Styela clava: one gene and its partners. The protein of the gene in region 3 interacts with the protein of the main gene of each other region in a pairwise test. Links are inferred from orthologs where the notes say so. Each region holds a gene or a part of one and is shown on either strand. Other genes may lie near its edges. The genes, in order: large ribosomal subunit protein bL12m-like, vacuolar protein sorting-associated protein 51 homolog and regulator of telomere elongation helicase 1-like.

The links.
Region 1: the proteins of regulator of telomere elongation helicase 1-like (region 3) and large ribosomal subunit protein bL12m-like interact in a two-hybrid assay, tested with the Caenorhabditis elegans proteins (2 studies listed by BioGRID). The link is inferred for Styela clava from reciprocal best matches to the Caenorhabditis elegans genes rtel-1 and mrpl-12.
Region 2: the proteins of regulator of telomere elongation helicase 1-like (region 3) and vacuolar protein sorting-associated protein 51 homolog interact in a two-hybrid assay, tested with the Caenorhabditis elegans proteins (2 studies listed by BioGRID). The link is inferred for Styela clava from reciprocal best matches to the Caenorhabditis elegans genes rtel-1 and vps-51.

What each region holds. Positions count from the first base shown.
Region 1 is NC_135252.1:17,318,080-17,325,289, reverse strand, and holds large ribosomal subunit protein bL12m-like, read right to left. Parts: upstream 1,803-7,210; 5' UTR 1,753-1,802; coding exon 1,195-1,752; 3' UTR 1,003-1,194; downstream 1-1,002. Other genes in the region: 26S proteasome non-ATPase regulatory subunit 2-like, read left to right, coding at 3,391-3,483, 3,898-3,954, 4,801-4,965, 5,353-5,474, 5,697-5,796, 6,372-6,508, 6,652-6,810.
Region 2 is NC_135251.1:21,118,425-21,126,712, forward strand, and holds the start of vacuolar protein sorting-associated protein 51 homolog, read right to left. Parts: upstream 3,712-8,288; 5' UTR 3,576-3,711; coding exon 3,408-3,575; intron 3,146-3,407; coding exon 3,068-3,145; intron 2,617-3,067; coding exon 2,458-2,616; intron 2,026-2,457; coding exon 1,768-2,025; intron 1,622-1,767; coding exon 1,499-1,621; intron 733-1,498; coding exon 572-732; intron 149-571; coding exon 1-148. Other genes in the region: linear primary-alkylsulfatase-like, read right to left, coding at 8,096-8,288.
Region 3 is NC_135258.1:8,439,324-8,447,798, forward strand, and holds the start of regulator of telomere elongation helicase 1-like, read right to left. Parts: upstream 3,740-8,475; 5' UTR 3,641-3,739; coding exon 3,003-3,640; intron 2,457-3,002; coding exon 2,185-2,456; intron 2,002-2,184; coding exon 1,869-2,001; intron 1,650-1,868; coding exon 897-1,649; intron 566-896; coding exon 355-565; intron 1-354. UniProt on the Caenorhabditis elegans protein: A probable ATP-dependent DNA helicase implicated in DNA repair and the maintenance of genomic stability. Acts as an anti-recombinase to counteract toxic recombination and limit crossover during meiosis.

The DNA of each region.
Region 1 (7,210 bases), on a different chromosome or scaffold from region 3:
CACTTACGGCTCTCCAGTACTGTACGTACCAATGTGGAGGCCTAAGGGAAAATGCCCTGGTACATATACTAAAGTATCACCCGAAATTCTGCGATTTGCGATGTCTAAAGCACTTACGGCTCTCCAGTACTGTACGTACCAATGTGGAGGCCTAAGGGAAAATGCCCTGGTACATATACTAAAGTATCACCCGAAATTCTGCGATTTGCGATGTCTAAAGAAGCGTTTTTAATCGGTCGCGTACAATCATAAAACAAAAGTTATCGTGTTCTCCGTTTTATTTTCAGTTTTTTTGTATTGCCGCTTTTTAATTCAGAAAATCTGGGTTGCCACCATTGACACCTACTAAAAAAAATAATTTTTCGTTGTTTGAACTCGCTAGTAACACTATACGTGTGCTCGGGTTTTCGTCAGAAATTCGCAAGTGAGTTGTGAAATCCAATCGTTTTGACCTGTCGCGTCACCTGTTACCAAATTTTCGAATAGTGAATTGCTATTCTAATAGTTGAATATTCGAATATATGCCCAGCCATACTCAGTAACTAGTAATAATTGACTTGATTAATGTTATGTGGATAAACTTGCTTTTTATGTTTTATGTGAATTTTAACGTAAATCGTTACTTGGCTGATAGTTAACTTTTGCAAAAAAAAACGTTTGCGGCCCGCAGTGAATTTCTGGCTCGTTGCGGACTCATTCAAATGCCTTTGCGGACTCTGGTTGGGAAACACTATGCTAGGTTTAAAGTTTTGTTGTTGATATCAAATCGTCCATGTTTGACCGAAGTTACCACCAGGGTTATGGTGTCAAGGGAAAAATTATATTCAAATCCAGTTTGAAAAAAAATCTGAATTTAGGATTTTCAAAATTTTGCAAACCTCATTCAATATACGGTTAAGCATGCTTAGTTAAAGGTTCGGCCCGCGGTTTCACCCAGCAGTTTGAACCTCCAATGAAAGCATGACTGTATAGCTCTGCCTATGGACAATTTTCAGACCTTGCCACGTTTGGTTCAGTTTCTAATAAAGATCAAAAAAGGTAATAAAGACCAATTGCCTGCTTTAAAATGATGTCAAATACATAAATCAATAATTGAAATATAGTAATTCTCTGAACAGTTTCCTGGAAGCCTTTGCTAAAGTATAACCACTTTTTATGATTTGAAAGCTTTTTTAAAAAAAATTCATAAATAGATCATTCAATAACAACAGTTCCACCTGCCTCCGTTAATGTTTTTGATAATTCCTCAGCTTCTGTTTTTGGTATTTCTTGTCGTACAATTTGTGGTACACTTTCCACAAATCCTTTCGCTTTTACAAGATTGAGGTTTGGCATTAAAAGTTTAATTGCTTTGATTAATTTAACTTTTGAATCTGGTTTGAAAGCAGTAAGTTTGACTGTGAACTCAGTTTGTTCTTTCGAAGCTGGAGCTTCATCTTCCGCTTGAGCAGCACTGGCACCGGGAGCAATACCTCCACCAACCATCATTGGAATATCACTGATATTCAATTTGATTTTTAAGAGTTCGTTTAATTCCGATACTTCTATGAGTGTAAGATTTGAGATTTCATCGACTATTTTTACAATTTTTGGTGGAAATTCTTTACTTCCTTCTAGCGGTGGTGGTGGGATTTTCTCGATCCCTTGAGCTGCTGCTGTAGACATTGCATCTTTACCTCTGCGCACGATACCATTGCATTTCAGCAATCGATCAGTTCTAAAAAGTATTCTTGTTTGTCTAATTGCAAACATATTGTTCACGATTTATGGCAATTGCTTGCTGAAATGATAGGTTATTATTACGAAAATATTATTAATTCAGTAATTAGACTACTAATATTTTTTTTTATGTTAGAACTATCAAACTAAAGACCGCAGCAATTGGGTCTCGTGTACATACTTCTAGTGGGCGTAGAATAACAATTTTTTCACATATCAATCCTAACCCCCACCTGACTACGCCATCCAAAAATTACGTCACAGTGACGTAATATAGCCCTTCAAACTATATGAACTGCCATCCAAGACGCGCAGACGAGCACCCGAAATAGAAAAGCTATTTCTCTCGTTTTCTTGCCGATAGGAGAGAGATCGATGACGTCAGTCAGCTCTTTATCGTCGGCGCCAATGCCACTTCGGGCGATCATATGTATATTTGGCAAGCTCTATGATGTGATTGTGATGTCGTAGTGACGTAATTTTTGGATGGCGTAGTCAGGTGGGGGTTAGGATTGACAGGTGAAAAAATTGATATGCTACGCCTAGTAGAAGTAGGTTAGGTACGAAACTGCACGAGACCCCAGCAATTGACAAGATTACCCAAAAGCAAAAAGTGATCAAGATAATAGAAAATTTCCTTCTGCATTTACTGCCTTGAGATTGACAAAACAAATCTATAGTGAACTAGCAGAAAGCTATTACTGATTAGTAATTAACGAAAAGAGAAGGAAGAGAACTTTGCGTACCCTATTAAAATCAATAGAATTTTCAAAATACTTGAGAATTGTGATGCTAATTCCATTTTGCTTAAAACTGTCAACAATTTTTTTTTCATAACTCCAGCTAGTCAATTAACAGGAAAGCAGAATATCGCAAGTTTTCGAATGAGAAAGTCGTCCACACTGCGAGAGGCATCTCTACATAAAGCAGATTTCCCTATCCCTCATTAAATTTATCACATGTTTTTATTTCTTTCGAGAACTGATTGAGAAACGAGCGCCTACCGTACCTGTTTATGAAACCTATCCAAACCTTAGAAATAACCGAAGTGACAGTCACTTTGGAAATAATCGTACCGAAAGTAAGGCGCGATGCAGCATGGGTGGCACTGGCGCCCGTGGCAACTTTTGTGGCTTCAGTTAGATAGACGTCACATAAAATACTGAAAAATTATACAGGTGATGAAAAAACACGTAACATTTGGGTTGGATCAATTTTGTCATACGTAAATTTTTTTAGAATTTTAGAACATTTTTTTAGAATTTAAAATGCCAAAATTGAATCTCAACTCTATCGCGAACGTGTCGTATTGAACTCCAAAAAATTAATTTATTTATACCCCCGTACATATTCAGTATAATAATAGGCGTGAAAATGTTTATAAATGTCCTCATGGAATTCAAAATTAATTCCAGAATTAGAATGAGAATTTTAAGTCAAAATTCCTTGATTATATGGTCAGAATTTTCTAGGGATCCCAATTTTATGTTAAAACTTTTTTTTACGCCACCATATGATTTGTTTCAAATTTGCTTGTCATGGTTTTGAACGATGACTCATGTTTATTTTCCATGTAATATTCGGAGTTGCTGGTGCTAACACTAGTGCACGATTGTTTGTGCGTTTACTTCAGATAACTGTAGTTGAGTTGAAATAAAGTTTGAAAAACGAATGGCTCCTGTAACCTCTAAAGAAACACCAGCGGAGAAACCTACCAATGAAAAAGACAAAGTAGAAAAGAAAGAGGAAAAAGAACCTGAGTTGGTTAGTCATATTCTAGCCTACCGGTATCTTTTTCAGTTGTAATCTTAATGTCACTGGCTTTCAATATTTTCCTGCTCTTTGAGGCAAGGCTTTTGATAAAGAATATATGGTTATACATTGATCAATGCGCATCTAGAAGAATTTGAGGCTCCTTGGCTCGGCGGTGTGAAATCAGGTTTCTCAAAAATTATATAAATAAGAAATCAAGGATGTAAAAATATTTAGCTAATGAGAAAATTGAAGTTAAAACATCCCCTCCTTTGCACACCTGAACACGGAGAAACGAAACCTCAAGAATGGTTAAAAAATAAATTAGCCTACTTCATCCTTTTTTTATTTCATTATTTTTGCTTTATATAAATTTACACCTTCGGTTGGTTGACTTTTATTAATATAATAACTTTTTTAATCTAGACTGATGAAGACAAACAACTACTGGATGAATTGAATCTATGTGTGGAAAGATTGAAGGTTTGAAGTCTTTTTTAACTGATTGTGTTGTCTGTATGTGTAATGCTGTATGATAAGACAATCCACTTTCACAAGCGTGTGTGTGTGTGCGTGCACACTTTTTCATCGTGAGAACTTGGTATGGTTTGAAGCGTTTGGAATTACCGGCAAGTCAGCATAATATCATCTCGTTGCGTGATAAAATTCTGATGCGCGAATGAGTCGATTTTTTGGTGCAATCTGAGTTATGCGAGAACGGTCCCTTAGTTTGGCAACTTTTTTTTTTGAGTTTTAAATTCGGCCTATTCGCGAGCATATACGATATGTGGACCTATTATGGTTATAATAAGATTTCACTTTTGACTAATGATTTTCTAATCATATCCAATATTCAACACAAGTTACAAGGTATTTCCCATGATTTACGGTAATTATAGTTTGAGGAATAGAAATTGTGTAATACAGTATAATATATTATGTGATGAAGTGCAAGCTTTGTTTTCTAGGATGACCCAAATAACAGAACCAATAAATTTCTTAAATACTTCTATGAAAATGAATAAAAACTTATTTATCACTTGAAATTATGTTTGTGTATGACACTTTAGGATTAAATCATTAAAAAAATCATTAAAAAGGATTAAAACCAAAATTGTCAAAGTGCCAGAAATCTAGGACGCTTCCGAAGTTTTTTTTTAGGGGGGTGGGAAAGGGTTAACTTGTAATTGTTCTCAGATTCAACCCCACTAGACCACAATTATGTAAACAAATGACTACATTGCCTTTTTCGAAGTTTATATTTAAGAATGATTACCTCTGCTGTTGAAAATTATGTACCTATCCTTTTAGTTTCACTTTTTTTTACAGGAAGATGACTCTTCTTTATACCACTCAGCTCTTGAAATTTTACGAACGAAGATTCGTTCATCTACTGCATCATTAACATCTGTACCAAAACCATTAAAATTTCTTCGACCACATTATGGGACTTTGAAAGAAATTTATGAAAAAATTCCAGATGGCAGAAACAAAGTATGTCAGAAAGGATATTTTAAGTGAATCATAGCAGTTGTTGAGATAAATCACATTGAAGAAAAATTGCTCTTATATTATAATGCTGATTGATTTTTTTTTTTTTTCTTTTGGCATCGGAGTCTAAGTCTGGACTTTTGACGGTGATATTAGAAGTCAAAAAGTTTTTGAGAGAATTGAGAAAGCACTAAGTTGACTACGACAAATAAAGAAAATTTGTATTCGCAAAGTTTTTGTCACCAAAACAGATGTTCACAGCTCTGCCTCTGTTTATAACTTTTTAATTTGGAGCAACAACTGGACCATCTCAATCGTACACAAATCAGGCTTCATTGTCTGATTGGAAAATTTCTGTTTGAAATGAAAGTATTTTTACCCCTTTTTCAGAAATTTTGTGCTGACATTGTATCAGTGCTAGGAATGACAATGTCAGAAGAAAGAGAATGCTTAAAATATCGACTCGTTGGTACTCAGGAAGAAATTGGATCTTGGGGACATGAATATGTCAGGTGTGTTCTCGATAAAAAAAAATATTATTTCACTGAAGAATAAATAAAACCTACAGAAATCATTCAGAGATGCAGTTGTAAATTTTAAAGCCTTAATGGCTCTAATCTCAAAATTCATGAAATTAATTGAAATCAATTTTTTTTAATATTTACCAATTGAAGTATACAATACTTTTCAATTAATTTCAGTCCTGTTTATTAATATACTTGTTTATTCATCAGACATTTATCAGGCGAGGTAGCTTCTGAATGGAAGGAGATTATGGATGCAGAAGGGGAACCAGATGCTAAGAAGTTGGATGCACTTGGCAACTTAATAGAGGTGGATTACATTTACAATATTCCAAATTTAATTTTTTGTAAGACTAATTTTTTATGTGATGCTTATTTCATGCCTATCACTCTGAATAAGGCCTTGTATAAGCAGACACTGATATGTAAGAAGCGTTTATTTTTATGATAGCCATGATCCTTTCGATTCACTCTCTACCCAATTCATTACACACATGGTTAGCTCGGAGCAAGGTCCTGAACCCTCCACTTTGAATGGAAGGACTATTGATTGAAGAGTTCCACTATGGCATTGATAAACAGATAACTATATAGGTTTTCAATGCTAGATGGAAATGTAAGGGTCTAAACGGTGACTCTGCGATTGGATACTACTTAAATATAGATTAGCTCAATAGTGTTGTTATCGCAGATTACACATCTCAGGTTCAAATCTCATGACCTCCACCTCACTCAGGGTGTAAATCATAAATTAGGTCGTCAATGCCGGACCAGAGATATTTGTTGTGATATGGCAGTGGCTGCTTGCACAGGGCCTTGTTGGGAGCAAAATGTTTGAATAAGCATCAATTATAAAATTATAATTTCAAATTTGTTTTGTTTCAGGATATTGTTCCCTATAACATGAAGCACAATGGAGAGACGGATGCTTGTGATTTATTGATGGAAATAAACAAACTTGAATTACTTGATAAATTTGTTGAAAAGAGTACTTTTTCGAGAGTTTGTCTTTATCTAACAAGGTAAATTCTGTTGCATTTTCCATAAAATAACAAGACAGCAATGTTCGAATGTATATCACTATGAACACCATAGATCTTTTTAAATTATCATTCGGTTTTCTCAATATCATTCGATGCAACGAAAAAACTTTTTTCTATTTCAGCTGTGTGCCATATACACCCGATCCAGAGAATATAACGTTGTTGAAGACAACTATAAGATTGTTCAGAAATTTTGATCGGTATGCTGAAGCAATGAGACTTGCTTTACAATTGAATGACATGGATGTTATTACTGAACTGTTTCAATCCTGCAAAGATCCGTGAGTGATGTTGTAGATTATCTAAATATATTTTTTCAATCATTTCATAAACATTACAAAAGTGGGTGTAATGGCTTAGTGGTTAAAGCTTTAGATTTAATTATGATACGAGCACACGCAGGCTATGATAAATTGGGTATGCAATGCCAAACTGGAAAGATTCCAGTCCTTCAAAACCTGGCATGGCCAAACTACGGCCCGCGGGCCAATCCGGCTCGTTAAGTAACTCAAACTAAAACCAAATTTTGATGTTTGAGCTAGAGAATAGCTCAAGGAATTTGTCGAGATAATGATTGAATTTGATTTTGGCATGTGGCTTATTGTTTTTTACTTTTTTGCTTTTTGTAACACTGTACATATTGTTTATAAAATGCAACTTTCCACATCACACTAGTCTAGG
Region 2 (8,288 bases), on a different chromosome or scaffold from region 3:
ACTTTCTGCGATTTCTTGAAATAAAGTTTCAGGAATGTTTTTTGTTTGATTAACAAATAGATTCTCATATGCAGCAATTGTTAACGACAAATTGCTCAAAAATCCATTACTGCCTCGATCAATGAATTCTAATACGTCGATCAACAACCTAAACCAAGACAATAAGAAAACTTAATTGGTATCTTTTTTGAACAATATTTCCTCCATATTTTCAATATAGGCTAGGATACAAATGACTGGAAAGTTGTTAGCATGGACCTAACAATACCACCGTACAACAGTGTAAGCTTGAGCATGTTACAAAATCCAGATATTTAAGTCTGCATAATTATCCAAAAAATACAGAATTTTCAAATTGGCCCATGTTTATAAAGGTGCAAAGCAGGCAGGAGTCATTAATAAAATACTTGTGACAGTTAGGCTAAGTCTTTTACCACACTCATTTCATCAAAGTATACCGTATATATTCAAGACTCAAATAACGTGAAGATGCCTATAAACCTAATAAGGATTCATGAGCTACAAAAAACATGTCAACAGGGTATTTAATTTTGAAGGCTTAAAGTTTTACCTGGTATTTTCTTGTTCAACTATATCATCAGTATGTTCATCTGTTTCTTCATTGGTATTTCCAATACTTTTGCTATCTTCTGCGACTATAGTAGTTTTTGTTGAACTTCTAGTAATTGATGGAGATGTAAGGAAGTTGCATGATAGATATGATTCCAGTTCCTGAGAAAAATTCAAAATGAATATTGATGAATCATAAGAATAGTAAATACGAGGTCGCTCCAGAAGTATGTGCACCAAGATGGCACACAACCTGAATTCTAACCTGGTACACATACTATGTTCAGGTTGTGCGCCATCTTGGTGCACATACTTCTGGAGGTCCGATACAAGAGGGCGGTGCGAAACGTCAAGCTGAGATCAGATTTTTAGAGTTAAATCCTTGTATATCTTAATTAATCATGACCATATATAGCCTAATATAGATCGAATCGTACTCGAAAACTCATCTACATGTGGCGATTCAGAACTGTCCACAGAAATCTGAATTAAAAATGGGGTTGGATATTGGCAACTTTATTGTAGTTGGAACTTGGAAGCCAAGCAGAAAATTTCATAACAGTATATGAAAAGTAGAATTCCCTCCCAAACTATTTTAAAAGCATGAAAATATTTATTTATTGATGCATTGCTAATGCTAGTTTCCAGATCTTTGTACTCAGGGGGTCAATGTTTACAAAAATTAATTTCACAAAATTGAGTACAGAAAATTATCTGTGATACGTAAAGATCAAAAATCTATCTGCAATACCATCTGCGGAAAAAATTTCCATTAAAAAATATAATATATTCAGCAAGAACGGTTCACCATCCATGCTCTAAACTAAAACAGTTTTTGATCACATCACTGTAACTGAATATCATTATCGCTTAATCGTTTTGAGTGAAACATACGTTTACATTATTAAATGATATATAAAATTCAAACCTCTAAATCTTCCAGTAACTTTCGTTTTGTGTGTTGAAGATAATCATCACATAAGGATGCTGGTGGTTCTCCTAATCGTAATAATAAGCCAACACATTGAGCTAATTGCTGAGGTGTAGAATTCTGCACAAAATATGAAGTAGAGTATTTTTAATGGAACACTCTTATAGACGGATGCGCCCTATGAATGGACAGAACCCAATCATAATAATAAAACATAATGGAATAGCACCTATGTGGAATTGGAAGCCCTTACTGAAAAAGCATACCTTATTATGGAAAGTGTCTTTTAATTTTTCGATAACTTGATTCATAATTTCAGTACAGTCACGTTGAATTCCACTGAATGATTCCATGTGTTGGTAACGACTAAGAACAGATCGTGTTTTGGTGTAATATGTCACAGCAGCAGAATATGATTTCATGTCAAGGCACCTTTGTAATCTGGATGGTAATTCAAACAGAAACTGCAGCTTCTTAAGTAGTGAATGAACTCCTGATAGCTTCAGTATTTTCTGTCGATTGTCCTAAAGTGAAATTACGGAAAGTATGAGAGGGTCATCAGAAACTGCTCAAATCCATGATCAGCTAGCTGGTGTCAAAATATAGACAAAATGGTTTAGTAGTTCTAAGCGGAGGTGTAAAAAAACAATACTACTTTGGTATGCGATATCGGAGGTTGTGAGATCTCAGTGACTTTAGTTAGGGTTAGGAACAGACTTATATGAGAATTAAAAAGATACCAAAATGGGTATGCAATTATCTTGTAAAGCAAGTGAGATGCATACCTAGGTGGCAACAAATAAGTTATCAAATGCAATTGAGGACGTAAAAGATCTTAAAATTAGGAAGAAAATGATACAAAAATGTTAATAAATTTTGGATGAATTAGAAATGCCTTAAAAAAATTTGAAATACTGTTGATAAGAAATAGGATACGGTAAGCAACAAGAACCTACATGCATTGTACTGTTAATTTCAGAACTTAATTTTGCAACTGATGAAACATTTGCAGTTAATTTCTCCATTTCATCCTCCATTTTATGAAAATCTCGTTTCATTGTACGAATTGTATCTGTCGCACTGATGAACTTATTGTAGTTCTCATACACCAACGTCTGTTAAAACAAATATATTCAATTTTGCTACATTTTCTTGAATAGCATATTTCATATAGTATGACACATGTTTCAATGTTTAAAAAAACTGACCAGATTTAGCAATATATAAACAAGCTCTGAAACGAGGGGCGTCGTTTTGGTAGCACTGGATACGGCGGCACTATCTTTGTGAGATACTAATAAATCAACTGTGACGCCAGCGAAATTCGCTCGACAATAGTTTCCTAATTATCTGCTTTGTTTAATCAGACTTTAACCCACAAAATTTATTGCCGAGACAGTTTCGAGTTCCACTTCGTTTGAGTTTAATGTGCAGCTACATTTTGTGGTTTTTGCACCAATATGGAGGGACGGTAAAGGCCAGGGGATATTTATGTATCATTGGATAATAATGCATGTATTTAAACTTTTAAACCGTAACTCCGTTTAAAAAACATGCAGAACATACTTGCATTTCACTGTCCAATGTTCGTATCTGACGTGCCATGTCATGTTCAGTATCCATCAGCTGCTCCAAATTTTTTTCCTTACAATAAAAACCTCAATTAAAGTTTTATCAAAATTAGAAAAACTACATCTACAATTACTGCTGTACTGGGCAAAAACAAAACTAGGCTACTAGTTCTATAATGTAAGCAATTACAGTATTATGGGTATCAAAATTTAGCATTCCGCGTTTGAACATGAAGAATTTACCATTTTAATACAGGAACATAACTGCATAATAGTGTCAAATGTGAATTGGGCTAGCTGACTAGTAAAATTTGAATCATTTCAAAAAATTCAACCTGCTTTAATTTGCGAAGGTAATCCTCAGGTTTGAAATTGTTGCTGTCAATATCCAGATGTCCATCGGAAACTGAAGATTGATTTTGACCATCGACATTGTAATACATCTTGAGCATATCATTTTTACGCGCATGTCTCGTCTGACGATTTTCGTCTGTCTCCTCCATTGCTAAACTTTATCTATTGACTATCTATATATTTTTCAGCCAATCGATTACAAAAACAATACAAAAACTACCGGTATTAGCCGATTTGACTGGCAAGCAACTCCAGTGTCGCGATTTACTCTGCTTATTTAGCTGATCTTTGACCCCGAACAATTTGGGCCTGACTCTGAGTCTACACACGGGCTTATTTTCGATCTTATATTTTCATTTATTGGACACGTAGTGGACATAACGATCGTTTCAATATTATGTTGTTGTTGTTCTTGTTGTTCTTGTTCTTTGACACGTTTTTAAAAAGTCGCTTTTCTCTTCGAATACTGGACCAATTGCTTTGAAATTTTCAGTGGTTAAAGATTAATTTTTTCTCTAGAAGGCTATTACTTTTGTTTATTCTTAAATTTTATATGAATCCTATGAGATATGATATTTCATACAAAATTTCGCGGTATTTATTTTTACTCATGGGAACACTGTTTTACACCTATTTCAAGCGGTTTCGCGATCGATTGTCTTGCTCAGTAGTACAGCTACTGTAGGTCGGTACTGGTAAGTTGCCACACAGGTACCGTAACGCAGTGAAATTGACTTATTCCTTCCGCGGTATTACTAATGCTGCAATGCAAGTTTTATAGCCTATCGTATGCGGAACGGAATATCAGACCTGCAGGTTCGGTACCGGTACTGGTAGCTCAGTACGTAAGTACGATACTGGTACTGGTGCCGGTACCAGTGTCTTACCACAATGAAATTACCGTAACTTATTCTTTCACGGTCCTACCAGTGCAGTAATGCAAGCGTTGTAGCACTTGTAGCCTACTATATTTGTTTATTTTGATGAGAGTCTACTGGAAACAACATAAAATTTGAAAGGGAAGAATTGTTCTGTGATCAATTATCTGTCCTAAAGTGTAAACAACATAAAATTTGCAAGGGAACAACTGTTCTGTGATCAATTACCGTATATGGCCTACAGTGTACAGGTAAGATGCTGGCTGACTGCTAACCGGTACTGGTAGCTCAGTACGTAAGTACGATACTGGTGCCGGTACCGGTGTCTTACCACAATGAAATTACCGTAACTTATTCTTTCACGGTCCTACCAGTGCAGTAATGCAAGCGTTGTAGCACTTGTAGCCTACTATATTTGTTTATTTTGATGAGAGTCTACTGGAAACAACATAAAATTTGAAAGGGAAGAATTGTTCTGTGATCAATTATCTGTCCTAAAGTGTAAACAACATAAAATTTGCAAGGGAACAACTGTTCTGTGATCAATTACCGTATATGGCCTACAGTGTACAGGTAAGATGCTGCCTGACTGCTAACTCAGTACCGCTTGACACGTTTTTAAAAGTCGCTTTTCTCTTCGAATACTGGACCAATTGCTTTGAAATTTTTAGTGGTTAAAGATAAAGGCTATTAGAAGGCTATTACTTTTTTTTTCGCTAAGACGTCATCAAAATTATGTGACTCTACGTGTCCATATATTTGAGCATAGCTCTCTTGTTAAAAACCAAATTACAAAGTAGAGAATTACGAGATTTTCGAACATACAAAATATGAGCGCCGATATCCATTTACTTACAAATAACACGTTTTATTCAAATTAACTGTAAAACATAGTTTATTAATCATTTTAAACGTGTAGGAGAGATTTCTTGCTAAAGACTAGGTCAAAATTTTGCGTTATCGACCAGGTCTTATTTTGAGGAGAGGGCTTATTATTATATTAAAGTCATTTTTAAAATTCAGGCTAGGTCTTATTTTCGGGAAAATACGTTATTCTCTATGTAATATTTTGAGTAATTTAAAGGTTTTGATTCTACAAATCTTCCGTAATTATTGTATTATTAAATGGGGCAATACCAGGAGAAAGAGTACGGAAGCTACGCCAGTCAGGTAGAACCAGCAAATGTCTGCAAAGCTTGAAAATGAAAAATGGCATTTTAAATTATTGTGAGAAGAAGCAGAAAATTATTATACGAAAAACTGCAAACATTTGTCACTGCTGGAAAATGATTGCAGTGAGTCGCCGAACATTTTGAAAACATTAGGTTAAGGTATTCACTTGTACTTATAACTTTCAGCAGTGTTCAAGAAGACTGGAAAGTACTTTTGACGGATCAAGTAGTTCGTTTTCGTGTCAAATAGAGCTTTGCTTCCTATTAAGCTGATTGTCAACTTGTCACCCCAGAGGAGATGGTAGGCTACCTGTTTTATCCCTTTGCCACTCCCCTCGATATCGCCCACTTTAAGAATTACTGGTCAAGCACATCTTTGGACTCAATAGTTGTACGTTTTTGGTTGACGATTGACAGTCAAAAGCTGTCGACTTGAATAAGGAAACGGCCATCGAAATGAGGTTTCTCCGGATAAAGATCATTTCCCATCTGTGACATCATAGAATGGTCAAATCTTACTTCGGATACAATCCAGCAACTCTTTAGTGACAATTAAATGCATTATAGGCCTACACGTACTTTGGCAAACATTTTATGATATCAATGTGTTCGGCTAATATTCCTCCTTGAAAACGCGATTTTCTTAATCCTTCAATGTAAAATATATATATAAATTGGTGAAATATTGGGATGTTTCAATGAGTGCGTGCGAAATTCCCATGAGAGCCTGTGATACATGACCGAAAACAATTGATTCAAAATGGCACCCATTGTCCAAGTGTTGCCTCGGACTCATATATATATGCTTTGATTTACCCACTCATGTAAAATGTCGATTTCTTAAAATACCAGTTCCTTTCCGAATAATCTTTCTATTCCCCAAGAACTACGCGATGCCAGCTACTCCTATTTAACAAGCCATGACATCCATTTTAACGATTTCAAATAGCCAGTTATTTTCCTACGGACTTACAAATACGTTATTGGACACGAAATGGACCTACAAATCGTTTTGTCGAAGTTTTTTTAGTTTTTTCGTGGTATTTTTCTTCTTCATCTTGTTGTTATTATTTTTCCCCGTGTTTTTCTTCACCTGTTGTAAAAAAATCCCTTTCCATTTACCTGCTGGACCAATGAACCTTTCCTCAACCTCTGACCCCCGAAAAATCCTTTCTATACTTTACCATTGCAATCAACATCGCATACAACAATCTGTATTTTAAAAGTACCGGTGAAGAATTTTAGCCTAGTCTATCACAGCTATTTCTACACTAATTTTTTATTACTGCAATTAAATTAAAACTCCTAGGAAGACAGAGTGATCATTGAATTATCTGATTTATATTTAAGTTTCCGAAACACAACTAAAAACTAACGAATAGAGTTCAAAAACGCGAAAACGAGGTAATGTTTACGACCACGCTTGAAAATCTGTCTGAGTGAGAAAAGTGTCTGAGCGGATGCGAAAAGGGTGCATTGTTACGCCCTTTTTGCATCTTGCTGATTGGCTAATGTCACGAAGTAAACAAGGAAGTCGATGCTCGGGGAAAGGTCCATTGTTTTGAAATTTTCGGTGGTTAAAGATTATTGTTGTCGCTAGAAGGCTACTACTTTATTTATTTCAAAAATTTCTGTGGGCTCTATGGGATTCCTTTTAACTTTGAAGTTTTGTGTGATGACGTCATCAAAATTAAAAATTGCATACCTTGTGGCGGTTTCGCGATCGCATTTTGCGTTGGCCCTTTTTTCCATATATTTGAGCAATGCTCTCTTGTTTATTATGTGTATTTGGGGACACTAAATTGGAGTACGCAAGACCGCGCTCGTACAACTATCCTGAACATCCATCATCATTTAAACAAGTAAGAAGTATGTTATGCTCGAAATTAGTTTCGTTATATAGAGATGTTCGTTGATCGCAAAAAAGGACTTCTGTTTGCCTGTTCTCAAATTAACAGTCTCTTCTCAGATGAATTCTCAGAAAGGGAAGTTCTATGTACTATGTTTGATGCAGGTTCTTATGCATTCACTGTTTTGCCAGTCACCAGCGTAATTTCAAAATGGGAATAGTTTTATTATAGGAACTTATTCTTGTTAAAATAATGTACTCTTACGTATAATCTTGATGTCTATCTCCAGCCTATATTCACTGACGTCTATGTAGCAACTATTTGTTGCTATGGGCGTCTAGAATCGGGGATCAAATATTTCGCTAGAATTACGATGGACATCACTGTTCCCTTGCAACTAATCTTACAGTTATAGTTATTTTACAGATATTGAATACATGTTGTGGAACTGAGAAATCCCCAATCTGGTTCTCGGGGTTTCAGGTGTACAATTGGCGCTTTTGTACCCGTTTGATACAGCAACATTGGACATTTATATTTATATAACAAGACTATTATTAAATCTCGATACTCAAAATCGCTGTAGGTAGAAGAAAAGACTAATCTAAAATTTGATAAGATATTGTTTGAATGGTTAGGGTTATTTGATCATTAAGGTAACACAGTAAATGACAAAAATAAAACAATAATTCGTTATGAATTTTCGTTTGGAAGCGTGGGGTCAAAAAATTAAACTGGCAACTATAGGTATATAATATGTCATATTTAGTTAAACGGAATTTAATGGATCAAAACATTCCAGAAACTCCTTGTAAGTATCGATAGTTCCATAGTCAATTTTCACATTTCCTAATTCGATTTCTTTATCTAGTTGCAGATCTTCTGCAACAATCCCTTTGTACACATTCGATTTGGTGGAAAGTTGAACTTGGGGGACGATACTTTCTGGTGGTGGTTCGAAT
Region 3 (8,475 bases):
CACCGTACACAAATTAAGATTCGCGCCAGTCAGGTATTCCCCACGTCAACTGGATTATCAAAGGTGGTTACTTAAACTACACCTAACGATTGCACTCGAGCTATATTACAATAAAAGGCACTCTTGTAGTGTGTGTACCAGGTTAGGGTTAGGTCATAATTTTATTCTAATTTTTCCTAATATTAGGGCTATTATGAGTTTGGGGACTGTTTGTGATAGCCAAGTAAATACAACCCCTGCCCATAGGTTTCATTCCTTTACACTACTTGATGTAAAGTAGGCGAACAAAATTAGTTACCTCCATATCGGTACACACACTTCTGGAGCGCCCAACAAAATGTACATCAGCGTTACCTTTGATGGTGGATAAGGTAGACCAATGATGACAACGGCTCTTCCATTTTCATTAGAGAAATCCAAACCTTCTGAGACTTTGCCACGACATATGGCAAAGAATGTCCCACCCTCAGGTTTGGCAACATCTGAGTAATATTTTTCCATGGCTTCTTTCAAACCATTTTTATTTCTCGTCTCAATTGTGCAAGGTTTAATCAAGTCGATCTGCCTGATGAAAAAAGTGACATAAACATGACATACTGATAGTACAAAATGATGCGAAATTTTCGAATTTTTACCTGATGTTCTGAATATTCCAAATTGATGTTCAGCAAAATAAAGGTATGTATCAACTATAAATAATACTGTCATTTTAAAACAGTACCAGTATTTGACTAAGTAAATTTTCAAGATACGACTTTTTTGATTGGATTATCTTAAATTTGATTATTATGCTGAATTTTCTGAGTACCTCTTATGATGAGAAAGCTTACATTTTTACTGGATTTTGATATTGTGAAAGACGTGGGGCATTTTCTACTTATTACAGATCTATGTACCTCATAATATCAGGAGCTAACTCCCTCCATGTCTTGGTGTAAATTTCCATGGCCAAGTAAGATGGGAAAAACACTAGCAATCCACCAGGACATATTCTAGACATTCTAATAAGAATATTTCCAATATCTTGTGCCAGTCTGTAATCTCCTCTAGTTTTGTACGTTGATTCTAAACGTCTTCCTGTGAGTCCTTTCGTTAAAGAAGCAACGAAAACTTGATGATTATCAATGACGTGAGTGTTTTGTAACGTGATCGGGAAATCAACTTGAAGTTCGCAGGTAAAGGATTCAATCGGCGATAAAGTTCCGCTTGTCAAAATTAAATTTTTTACTCCGCAAGCTAGTAAATCTCTCATTGCGTATCCCGGGCTGAAGCACCAATAACTCAGCGTTCTTTGTGTACCCGTAGATTCTGTAGTCGTAGTTTGAAAAGTTTGTTTCCCTCCCCAAGAGTTTTTAGATTTTACTTCGTCTTCTCGAATATGTACGCGATAAAATTTTGATAATTCACTCATCATCATCTCGGTTGCTACATTGGAGTTTAAAAGAGTGGATGGTAGGGTAGGATTTTGTCCTCCCGCTGCACTGAATATGATTTTCAGGATCTCCGAAAACTTTTGTAAAGCTGTTCCTCTAGTTTGAAATGAGTTACTCAGGGTGGAAAGATAAGTCACCACCTTGTCGACAAGATCAATGATTGTCTCATGTGTTGTAAAGTTCACACTCAGAGCGGCCAAAAACTCAAACATGTATCTGTAAAAATAAGAAAACATTGTAACTTTTACACGAGGTGTTTTCAAAGAGTTACTAAGACTCCAAACAAGGCACTTCTGAGTGAAAACTACTTTTTTTGAAAGGACTCCTGGACTAATTAAGGACTAAATAAGCGCATCTGCGTAGAAAGAGAAATAAAAATCTGCTGGAGTGCGCTAGGGCTACATTTTTGAATAAAAATATTCCATATCATCATACCTTCCCTTTTTTGTCAAACTCTTTTCTACACCAGAAAGTGGTATGGCTTGAAGATGTGATTCAAGATGGACGAATAATGCTTTTAACGTTGCTAATTCCTGAAGATTGAATTCACCAAGTGCTGATGACTCTCCTGAAAATATATGGTGGTACACAATTATCAACCAAAAATCAAACTTAAACGATTAAATAAAAGCTGGCATCAAGCTGAACTATCAGACAACTAGTTGAATGGAGAGAGTCAAATGTATGAATGAAACATGAAACTACCATGTACTACCTGAGCGCCCACACACACATAAACATAATAACATACCAGCCTCATAACCATCAGGTACAGTCCCAGTCTCAGAAAGATTTACTGCAGCTTTTAATAGTTCTCCAGTTTCTTGAATACATTTTGCAATATCCATTGATGTTAAATCAAATGAAGCCGATTCTTCGCACATCTTCTCCAGATTATGAGCTTCGTCAAATATAATCACATTGCCAGATACTTCAAGATTATGAGAACGACGTGCTTTCCGATCCAATAAATAATTATAAGGCGTGAAAATGATGCCACAGTCTGCCTCTTTTGATTGCTCTCTAGAAGATGAAAATGATTTTTTTTTTTCAAGTTCAATTCAATTTTATCCACATTCTAATCTGTGATCACATACCAATCTACCACACCAATGACTCTCAAATTTTGACTGTGTGACAAATTTTTGGATCCTTTTTATAAAGATTTATTAGTCATATGTTTGTGTTTATAACTTTATATTAATTGATCGAAACTAATAAAATTAATGTTAATAAATATGATTAAATACACAAAAACAAGCTCAAGTACGCCATTGGTTAAATGTGCATAAATGATAAATTATTTCCTTTCCATAATTTAATTTTAGTAAAATTTTCTCTACAATATCATTTGGCACGAATTATGGTCAATTACAATGGAGAGTATAGCAGATATTGAAAAGAAAAGACAAATACATAAACCAAATTGATATAAAAATGTATGGTAAAGGTCCTATAACCCCTTACAAGTCCAGATATAACTTTTGCTACGTACGGTAAATGGATATTATTTATATACCAACTCATTATTTCAACTTATGATATCAAATAGAGAAATCTGTATATAACCTTGCTGCATAATAAGGGCAGGCACTCCTCTTCTTCCCCAACGCAACCAATTCTTCAATATCCAAAACTTCATTTGTGAATGATCCTGCTTTTCTCACATTTTCAACATTGTTGTAGAAATGACAGAGATGTTTATTAACTTTATTACGACACGAATGAATCATTGCAGTATTGTTGGTTTGCTTTGACACTTCTGGGTGAATACACATTTGCTCCCGGGATCCTAAAATACTGATTTTAGCATCCTTGGCATACGCAGTTCGTTTCAGTTCTTTGACGACTTGAGCTAATTGTGAATGGGTTCTGGAAGCATATATAATTTTTGGGGCCGTTGGGATGCTTTGTTCGGGCTCTTCCCCGGGAACTGCATCGCTAGAGCCCCATCCTAAGGGGTAATCAGGCTCTTTACTATCAGGAATCAAAGACTTTTCCACTGTACGCTTTTTGATTTCTAATCTTCGCCATGCCATGGTTGCGCACAAGAGGCACAAAGTTTTTCCTGTCCCTGTTGGTGATTCCAGTAACGCATTCTTCCCGGTTTGTAATGACTTAATCACACTTTCCATATATTTAATTTGTACTAAATACGGCTTGAAGGGAAATTCAATTTCCACATCCCGCAGTTTGAAAGTAGGCATGGTGAACGGAAGACTTGAATTAGCCAAAAGACTTGACAATTCAGAGGCAAAGTTTTCTGATTTTTTGTTCTTATTTAAAATAATCCATTTTAAACTCTAACTAGTTTATATGAATCTGTATAAAAATAATTATTATCACTTAACAGCAACAAAATTCTCAAAAGAATGGAATTAAAACTATAAAATCAACTACAATGAGCAAGTTAGACTGACACTTATTCATTCACAAATTTAGGTCTGGTATAGTACCATGGACCACAAGTACTTCTAGTTGGCATGCCTCAACAATTTTGGTACCGTACTATACTATACCACAACCATGCATATAGACTACAGATACGGTATAATAGATGCCTGACATAATAAAAAAAACTTGAATGTTCTAATGTATAAATGAAATTCTAACTAGCAGCAGTTTGATTTTGTTTTGAAATTCTAATTTTTGCATGTACAGACCTAGGAATTGCTGAATTATGGGTGTTCCAATGTTTGTTTACTCATTTCGCATTGTCTTCATCTATAACATTTACTAAATGGAGTTCGAAATAAAATGTCTATCTTATAGTAGTGCAGCAGTGATGGTGGTTTTGTGATCAAAAGATAGTTTTAGTTATGATTTTGCTTTACAATCAATCACTTTGGAAATTGGGAAAATATAAGAGCATAAATATGTGGAATTAAAAGACATTTGGACATAGTTATGTAGTCCAGTACCATAGTCAGGGTGTAACAGCGTCAGGTTGTACCGAAACCGCAGTTTACCAGCATAAGTCGCTACTGTGGTAAATAAATATCGGTAGACAAATTTATATAGTCTATCATTATTATTAAGCAACTCCCATGGCGATTGAAAGTCAAAGTCATAATTTAGACCAGGTACAGTCGTATGCAACCTGGGGATAGAAAAAGCAACGAGGGGCGAAAAGACTATGGACAAAAATATAGAATGATAAACTTTCTCTCTGTAATAATTGCTCAAGGGCGGACTGGTAAACGGATGGAGACCCATGGGAGGCCGTGGTTAAGCCCTCTCATCGACTTTCCACTCCACCGACATAACTACTTTCCTCTCCACCGGGATAACTGTGTAAATCCTATATCTAACAATCTCTCATCTTCAGTGGAAGCGAAACTGGCGCCAAGTTTTGACAGGGATTTATTTTAACACCGCAGCGCCATCTCGGGTTCGGCCATTTTAGCATGTCGGGTTCTTGAAGATACAAAGGTGGTAAAACTCTTAACCCGCGGCGCGTACTTGGAGTTCGGCATGTTCTTGTCGGAGTCCTATTTGCAAAATTCTCAGGACCTGGAGTCAAAATTCTAAATTCAATGGAGTCGAAAATTCAGACTTTTGAAGTTCCAATGGGGATAAAAGAAGTCAAAATTGAAAATAGTCCGCAGTCGATTGCAAATCCTACGTGGGATTAGCGATTTGTCCTAACAAAACAGAATTTCATGACCAGTAGGATAGATAGTAGATACACCTTCAATTCAGATTTATCGATTTACCAATCAAAATATTTCGATTTAGAGAGTATTTCCTGCACTCACCAACCCATGTTCGCCTGCCCAATGGGGCAAAACTATGAAGCTATTATTGAGCATACCAACACACGCATGCTTATTTTGACAAAATTATGACGTATTTGTACTGAACCCACATATTAGCGTTGTCTCTTTGTAAATGAATTTACGAAGTTTCGTCCCAGTCTGGAATAATATGTACCTTCCTTCATATTTCAATAGAAAAACAAACAACACCATTAACCATGTAAGTATTTTTATTTCCCTCAAAATTACACGGATTTAGTATATTTTTTCATCTGGTCACAGGGTTATTCTAATACAATATTAATGATGGTAGTGCTAATGACAATTGTCATGCCGTGAGTATACAAACAAATATAAACAAACAATGGAGTTAACTCAAATGACAGACTGATATGTGAAAATAATCAAAAATTATGCATCACATTCAATCAGCAAATCACTGAATTATCTGAGTCAAATTTTTCATACAGATACCAAAGATCTTAGGTAACTTGATTATGCATGACTTAAAGATGTTGAATTTGTCACACACGAAAAGCCTTAAGATCTTGGCATTTGAAAGACTTTGATAACGTATGACAATGGTTTTCTGGATACCGAAAGAAAATTACACAAAAAAGTAACACGGACTATACCTATTATCACTGCAAATAATCACCAAAAGAACTGCAATCCATACAAAAAAATGAATATTAACAAAAATACAAAACTACAAGAAAATTTTGATGATAATGATTGATTGACAAACTTCACTGGATACTCTTTAACAGCATAAAAAAATTTGGTTTAATATTTTTTTTTAATTTGTGCTTGAGATTTGAATCCATATTTTTATGAAAAAAGATGGTGGTGGAGCAAACATCACAAAAAGAAAAAAAAGCACAGCACGGCCCACTGGATAATTCAAATATCCGGTTATTATTGAAATCTGCTATGCAATATAACCAGCCAATAATCGCAAGTATGTGTTTAAATCAGATTAATGAACAAAGCGATAACCAAGTGAAAGGAAGAAATTCATAAAGAAATGAAAAGGTGCAATAATCGAGGAAAATTAACGAACTCCAACACGATCAGTAAGAATTTCAAACCAAAGAAAAAAGTGAAAAAAGGCAAAAAGGAATCAAAAAGCGAGTAACTGCTCAGTGTGGAATGAAAATGAACAAAAAAATATTGAAAACAAATACACGGAACACTTTAAATTTTTTGTTTTGTTACAACAGGTATATAATTGGCAAGTTGGTTTCCATAAAAGATATGAGACAGATCATTTCACCTGAAAATCTGTTTTTACTGGCATTTTATCTGAAATCTAACTTCAGTAAAAGATTCTATTTTAGTCAGATGCCGGATTTAGACTACGGTAAATACAAATCATAGCGTTTCAAGCAATTTTCCTATTTGCTCAAAACATATATCACAGCATTAACATTATAATCAAAATTTGGTTATGTTAACTCACAGAATCCAAATCAAACCTAATATTAGAAAACAATCAAATGGGATTACAAGTAAATAATATTATATATGGATGGATCTTAAAATTATGGCATCAGAAACGCAAACAAAATATTGTGTCTTAAATTTGTCAACTAAAACATTGAGTGAAAAAAAATTTTCGTGCAAATAATATAAATCACCGCTTAGTATTAATAATTATTAATATTAATTAACACTCATAACTAGATTTTTTACATCAGAATCCTTTTTTTGATGCATAATATAGATAAAACCTGACATTTCAACACAACAACGTAAGTACACTTTATCTTCAAAACAGGCAAGTTATTCCCACTGTCTAGCTCAGTCAGGTTGGCCGTTTACGAAAACAATTTAAAAATGAATTGAATCTTAATGCATTAAATATTCAAGCGTTCTAGTAATCAATGCAATGGAAGAATATTCTCCAAATTTGCACATTTGAATAATGTTGTTTAAATAAGAAAGTGGAATCTGACAGGGTATTTTTCCATTAATAATTGTCTAACAACCTGGATAACATTGAGATGATCATGAGCTTAAAGACACTTCGTCATAAGATTGGTTAAATTTTGATTAGGGAAAAAATCATATTGTACTTTTAAATGCAATTGAAGACTGAGGTGTGATATAAAAAGTGGTAGAGTCTCATGTGACTATCATTTCCCTTATAAGTATTGTGAAACATAAGTGCAAAATCGATTCGGACAAAAGCTAGGGCCGGGCAAAATCAAACAATCAATTCATAAACTTAATTTTATTCATAGATTACAAAAAAGCTCAAGTTGTTAGAGTTTTAATACTGTGATGTATTTTTTGTTGAAATCATTTTAATTTGTGTACAATAAGTTTGTGTGAATTATCTTTATCATTTTGAACCCTGCGGATTCACCCAGCCCTAACTATATTAACATAACCAATGCTTTAATCCCGTGCAGTTAGATTAAATCAAAAATAGTTCAAACGAGTAGTGACACAAGAACGTGTTGTAAACCATATCCAGCACAAAGCTGATTTTGAAAAAATCTGTAGAGTGCTCGGACATGAAATGATAATAACAAAAATCGAAGTAAGGCGCTTTCGAACAAACCGAAATGAAAAAGAGAAGCAGTGAAACAAAAATCAATTACATGCGTATACAAACACGCTGCTAGTAGTACGGTAGCATGGATAAAACTAAAAAAGAACAAACTAAAAATTAAAGTGGTTTCTGGTTCGATAAAAAAGTTGCTTTTGCTTTCCCGCTGCGATAGGGGGCAATCGCTATCAAGTTAACACAAAATTGTTAGTAACACAAACATATAGTTGTTAGCTAGCATTACGTGAATATTAATTAAAACAATAGTAATTAAAGCACAAAAAATAAACGAGAACACGTCAAACACAAAATCATCCAATCTAACACAAAAAAATACAGTATCGACTCAAATCGGCCGAAGCTGAGAAAATACAAAGGCGGAACACAATCAACTACCACCGCAACCAATCAAACGCCTGCTCTACTACTTTAATGAACAATAATTCATATGAATGTACAATGCTATAAAATCAGAGCAAATATACTTGCAATTTACAGTAATAAACCTAGAGTCGCTAACAATTTGAGCCAAATTTTGAGTTATATGCAATCAGAAAGTTGAATTTGTATAAGATTAAGCATAAACCAACAATGAATTCATTCCATATTAATATAAAATGCACCCCACCAAAATAGAATTGAAATAAGTAATCAAAAGTTGTATTTGAGCAACACTGGTGTACAGCAAATTTTTTTGAGAATATTTGAAAAAAAAGTTCATTTTTTG